Xenopus tropicalis: one gene and its partner. The protein of the gene in region 1 interacts with the protein of each later gene in a pairwise test. Links are inferred from orthologs where the notes say so. Each region holds a gene or a part of one and is shown in the gene's direction. Other genes may lie near its edges.

Evidence for each region.
Region 2: the proteins of rcc1l (region 1) and nme6 interact in binary tests that used the Homo sapiens proteins (3 or more experiments, as listed by UniProt). The link is inferred for Xenopus tropicalis from reciprocal best matches to the Homo sapiens genes RCC1L and NME6.

Annotation. Positions count from the first base shown.
Region 1 is NC_030678.2:101,938,560-101,942,218, reverse strand, and holds part of rcc1l (RCC1-like G exchanging factor-like protein), read left to right. Parts: coding exon 1-35; intron 36-1,156; coding exon 1,157-1,208; intron 1,209-2,202; coding exon 2,203-2,287; intron 2,288-3,623; coding exon 3,624-3,659. UniProt on the Homo sapiens protein: Guanine nucleotide exchange factor (GEF) for mitochondrial dynamin-related GTPase OPA1. Activates OPA1, by exchanging bound GDP for free GTP, and drives OPA1 and MFN1-dependent mitochondrial fusion. Plays an essential role in mitochondrial ribosome biogenesis.
Region 2 is NC_030679.2:89,495,669-89,498,434, reverse strand, and holds the end of nme6 (nucleoside diphosphate kinase 6), read left to right. Parts: intron 1-1,695; coding exon 1,696-1,844; 3' UTR 1,845-2,116; downstream 2,117-2,766. UniProt on the Homo sapiens protein: Major role in the synthesis of nucleoside triphosphates other than ATP. The ATP gamma phosphate is transferred to the NDP beta phosphate via a ping-pong mechanism, using a phosphorylated active-site intermediate. Inhibitor of p53-induced apoptosis.

The DNA of each region.
Region 1 (3,659 bases):
TGTGCACGAGAGGTTATTGAAGGAGAAATATATAGGTAAGTTTGTATTTTTAGTCCTTTCTGCAAATTTGCTAAAATGAGGAAATATAGTAATTTTACAGGGGTCATTGGTTATATCATTCATATAAAAATGTAATCATATTTAGATTCTGTTATACAGTGATGATTCCTCTGCAGTGATCTTCATGACTTACCCTACGGGCAAGGCCATATGTTGGACTTTCATATAGTGCTTAGGTTCTCATGCATCTGATGTCCAGATGTCTAATACTAGCCACCAAATATGTACACTCGACTGCAATTTGATTATTGCATTTAGTTTTCGATGCAGTGTGGGTCTCGCTTCATCTGCCCACTGGTGGGATGGCATTTAGTTGTCGATGCAGTGTGGGTCTCGCTTCATCTGCCTGTCGGTGGAATGGCATATCGGGGAGATTAGTCGCCTGCATCAAGGGAGATTTGTCGTGGGCGACTAATCACCCCGTCTGTCACGGACCTTAGAGCCTGAACCTGGCATTACTTTTGCTAGTTCCTAACTGGAACTAGCTATACCAGAGTGCCAAGATGAGGGATTTTGTTGCCCATGTGGTTCACAATGTGAAGATGTAATAAGGCTGATATCCTCTCAGAGTAGTGGAGATCAAAATATGTCATGAGTAATTGCCCTACCACAGGCAAGTGTAAGTTCAAATTAAATGGAATTGTAAAGAATTGTTGTCTCATGGCATTTACGTTTTTAAATGTAAGGCTTTTTTTTAATTTTATTTCCAGTTAAAAGAATCAGATATATATTTAATATATATATTTCTTTATATTTGAATCCTTTTTTTACTCCATTAAGCCTCCTTAATGCTTTTTCTGTAATTATTAAGTCTTCTAGCAGTAGTGTAGTGTGTTTTGAGACACAGACTAAGTCACATAAGTACTAAAAAATTGAACTCTTCCATTCCAGCAGAAAACAACAACTTTTTTTTTACCAGTAAATTAAAATGTTTTGTTTCTAAAACAATGCTACTTTTATCCAAATACTTCTTATTATTATTGTTCTTGTTTTTTTTAGGTCTGTACATACTGAAATGGCTGTAATGGGGTTAGTTTAGCTTATTGTTACCATTCTTTGTACTGCTCTAATGTTCTGCTCTTTTTTTCTTTGCTAGTGAAAGCCAGCTGATTCACAGGGTCCGAGAGCTGGATAGCAGAGTGGTTCAGGTACCAGTATCATCAAAAACTAGGACATTAAAAACACAAGTGGTTGTGTTATCTGTCTAGTGCTAGTCTTATAATTAATAAATGTTTCTATATGCAAGATGCAGGGACAGATTTAAGAACAAATGTGATTTTTTTCCCATCTATCAAACTGTCCTAAATGTCAGGAACATTTCTAAAACTGATAAAGGTGTTAATTTAATCAGAATAGGTTCTGCATTTATCATTGGGTATTAATACTCAACAGAGCAACAACTTCTATCCGAATCCTTCATCCCTAATGCAAATTGCACATTGTGTAAAATAATTACTAATCTGCCTTGTATCACATGTGACATTTATATTCTTTATATACAGTATATTGTGAGTTGTTCCCTAAGCTCAGTAACTGACAGCTGTGGAGCTGCTGGGGGCATCTTCACTGCTTAAATGCTGCAGTTGCAGAATCCCCAAACATAGGGCCAATTCATATTCAGTTCAGTGAGAAAAAGTTATTTCATGGTTTTTCATGTGAAAACTCATAGACAAATTCAGTTCAAGGAGAAAAACTTTTCTTCTAATTCAACTCCACTTTCTTCCCATAGACTTCAATAGAGTTTTCATGTGATAAACAGAGAGATACGTTTTTCTGAATTGAATTGCATCTCAAATTGAATCTCATCCATTTTTTTTTTGGTGTAGTTGCCAAATGACCTTTGCCTGATTTGAACACCAAAGTGGTAAACAAGGTTGGATTTTTATTATCCTTTGGGCCCCTGGACAGTGACCAGATTACATGGGGAAGCTATTCAGACAGGATCCCCAGCCCGATGAGGTTCTTATCCAATGACATTTTTTAACTGGTTTGATCAGTGTCTGAGTGAAGACCAATCATGACCAAAAGTTTTTGTCAAGTAGATAAGCCAAAATATGTTCATACAGGATGGTTATCTTAAAAAATGTATGTCATTGCTTTCTATATCTTAACTCATGTGGTTTGGGTTTTTGTCTCATTCAGGTTGCATGTGGTCAAGACCACAGTTTGTTCAGGACAGAGAAAGGAGAAGTGTACTCTTGTGGATGGGGAGCGGATGGGCAAACAGGTCAGTCTGACACCCCTATCAAGATTCAGCTATTTAATTTAAATAAAATTACACAGAAATGTCTTTTTAGAGTTCTTACAATGTGTCTCGTCATTTACATATAATTACTAGAAGTAATCATTGGTAATAAACTTGCCTGAATTAAAAAAAAAAAAGAAGTAATCACTGGTATCCATAAGGCACCATTTTATGGGATGTGCCAAACTGTGAACACAAACATTTACTAATCCACGAATCCGAATGAGAAAAATTCGGATTGGAAAACGAACATTTTGCAACTTTTTCGTACTTTTTTGTAACCGTTACGACTTGCGCAAATTGTTGCGACTTTTTTCGTAACCGTTACGACTTGCGCAAATTGTCGCGACTTTTTCATAGCCACTGCAAATTTCGTGAATTGTCGCGACTTTTTCATAGCCATTATGACTTTCGTGAATTGTCGCGACTTTTTCATAGCCATTATGACTTTCGTGAATTGTCGCGACTTTTTCATAGCCATTATGACTTTCGTGAATTGTCGCGACTTTTTCATAGCCATTATGACTTTCGTGAATTGTTGCGACTTTTTCATAGCCATTACGACTTTCGCGAATTGTCGCGACTTTTTCGTATTGAGCGCTCAAAAAATTTGCGACAATTCGCGAAAAAGTTGCAAAATACCGATCATTACGGAAAAAACACATTTGGACGCTTTTCGGACGTTCGTGGATTAGTAAATGTGCCCCAAAGTATCTAGTATAAATACATTTAAAGCAACTGGACTTGTTTGGTAAACATTGAAGACGTTTCACTACTCATCCGAGCAGCTTCTTCAGTTCAACTGACTGGTATGGGAAGTCCTCAGCACTAATCTCCCACTAATCCAATCACAATGGCACTTTGTAACTCTTCAGAAAGGTGACATCTGAAACTCACAGAGGTGTGAATGCTGTGGAGTTACTTTGATAGGATTACCAATGATTCTTCAATGATTACCAAACAAGTCCAGTTGCTTTAAATTTATTTATACTAGATATACCATGACCTGGATGAATAAAAATCTTCATAGACATGTGAACACAGAGGTTTCTCAAAGAACATATAATATGGGTATGACTGACCTTTTCTTAACATGTTATATTGTTTGTAAAGGAACATTACAAGAATTATCTTCATAATAGTCAGTGGTTATAAGGTGCTGATGGCCTGGGATATTTTTCATTTCCATCCCTAGTTTCTTGGGATTTGTGTGTCCTTGTGTGAGTTAAGCAGACTCTCACCATTTTGTTGTAAAAAGTAAGCTGAAATACACTGATTTGGAATTATAGCTAGCCAGCTGCCTGACTGTTTCTTGCAGGACTTGGTCATTTTAATGTGTGTAGCAATCCAACAA
Region 2 (2,766 bases), on another chromosome or scaffold:
GAAGTACCATAAAGATATCCCAAATCTAATGGCAGAAGACTAAAAAGAAGTCAGTAATGGCCCATATGCCTATCTAGTGTCAGGTAGGGACAAACTCATTCAGTGTGAATTCCTACAGGGGGGAGGGTGGCTTAACATTGAATTCAAATTTTTACCATAATTCGATATATTTCTCTATATGCTGTTCAGAATATGATTGTTAGTAAATGTTTCTTGTTTTGTCTGTTCTAAAACAAATAAACAAATACTTTAAAAAAAACTCACAATATTTGAATTATGGTTTAAAAACTAAAATGTCTGACATTTATTAGTGCAAAAACCCTAAATATCAAATGTAAAACTTCGGCATCTAAAAGCTTGCGAGTTTCTATAGAAGTCCATGGCTGAGTTGTCCTAGGCAAAGTCAAGCCATATTTTCAATTTGAGATTTTCGAGTTTTTTCGAGTTTGTAAATTCACAAATTGATGGTATTCAAGTTTTTTTTATTTAAGCAAGTTTTTCATATTAATAAATAAGCAAACATTCAATCTCGAAAATTGGTAATTAAGCCCAAGAGTGTACATTATGCCAAAAAACTACATTTCATCAGCCACAAAGAAAATAATTCATGTTACATGCAGCCAATCTCCTGCCCACGTGGTGAGACTATCCCAGGATTAATAAAGACTGGTAAATGGTCCTAAAATACCTGACAGAAAAACTAGGCATGCTACCAACATTAAGAAAATTCTACTAGAGGTCCTAGAGTAACTTGGGAATGGGACAGTTAAAAAATGGAAGTGGTTGGTAAATACAATGCTACCTCTATACTAGTGATCCCCAACCAGTAGCTCGGGGGCAACATGTTGCTCACCAACCCCTTGGATGTTGCTCTCAGTGCCCCCAAACCAGGCAGTTTTTTTTTAATTCCTGACCTGCCAAGTTTTGGTTGAATAAAAACAAGATTTACTACCAAATAAAGCCTCCTGTAAGCTGATAGTGTGCATAGAGGCTACCTAATAGGCAATCTTAGCCCTTATTTGGCACCTCCATTAACTTTTAGGCTAATGCCAGATGTGGCGTTTGGCGTATATTTTCAGCAAGCCAAAAATCGCTTGCCAAAAATAGTGCCAAACGCCTCCTACCTGTGCCTGCACCCGAATGAATGAGATACGCTCGGGTACAGGCACATGTAGCCGATCTCCGCCAAAAAAACGCAAGACTTCATATCTTTGGCGGATATCAGCTATATGTGCCTGCACCCGAGCGTATGTCATTCATTCGGGTAGGAGGCTTATGGCGATATTTTCGGCAAGAGATTTTCTGCTTGCCGAAAATATACACCAAATGCCACATCTGACATTAGCCTTATGATGCTTGTGTTGCTATCCAAGTCTTTTTACATTTGACTGTGGCTCACAAGTAGGAAAGGTTGGGTACCCCTGCTCTATACAAACTGACTTACGAGATTAGGTGGGGGGGTGGGTAAGGTAAATATCAGAAAGTCTGGGAACCATGTACAAAAGGGAAATAGACCCAGTTTTAGGCTGAGAAAACATTGAAAGGTAATTGGGAATGTTCATAGACAGAGGTGCCTGCCATCCCATTTATTTGTAAACCCTTGAATTTTATGTACTAATTTGTGTTAGGATATGTTTTTTAGTGTCAAAACCAATAAAAAGTATTTTGTTAAAAAAAAATGTTCTTTTTATTTAGATTCTGTTGAATCAGCTTGCCGTGAAATCACATTTTTTTTCCCTGAGTTCAACACTAGCGATTGGTATGAGAAGCAAGAACCTCGCTACAGAACAGGGCCAGTGTTCTATGATGAAGAACGGTCAGAACACCGACTTGAAGGGGAGTGAAGGGACCTAAAAGGCAAACTGTGTGTTTATGTCTGCAGCTTCATGTCACATAAAAGACTATGGGTTTTAACATGAAGAAGGCTGTGTATCTACACCAGACAAAATTAGGAAGTGGTTACTGCTGTACACATTTTTGCTGCAGCAAGGGACAATGGGCACTATATTATTGTTATGGAAGATTTTAAGTTTGACGTCATTCTCTCAGCTCAGTGTGGCGCTGACTACTCTGTTTTAGCTCAATACAAAACATTTTAATAAAATAAATATACTAACGTTTTCTTTTGGCAACGTTAATGTGAAGCTGACAAGCTGAGCACAGAAGGGTCGCATGTGGCCTCCAAGATCCTTGTTGGGCATCGCTGCCTTATCTATTTTAAAGGTAACTACTGAAAATTTTGGCTAACCTTGTACTGTTCAGTATAACACATTACAGGGCTCATTTTGGATCCAAAATGTGTGCAGGGCACAAAGTGTTACCCACGATGCAGTCTGTTTCCCATGATTCCAGCATAATAGTGCTCACAAGGTTGCCACCCAATGCAATTGCAGCCAGTATGTTAAAACATGCAAAATTGTATTTGCACTTTTACACAGTTGCACTGAAAATCTTCTCAATTCATCACTTCCGGCACTTAGCATCAAAATGAAGTCTGCACCTGATTTTTTAGATGCAAGTGTGCTCGGTTTATTAATGCAAGCTGCTGTAGGAACCCTGGAGTTACCACATCTTTCAAAGGTGACTGTAGTTCAAGGGTTCCTCTGTGTCAATTTAAAGGAGGCGAAGGATCGATAAAGTGGCACCACGTACACCTATGGGATTTTTTCATGCAACAGATTGTGGCAAAATTGCGTTACCGCAACTACACTTTGCGCCTGTAACTGAGCCCTTATATTTCTGGTGTGGATATAAGTTCAATATGAT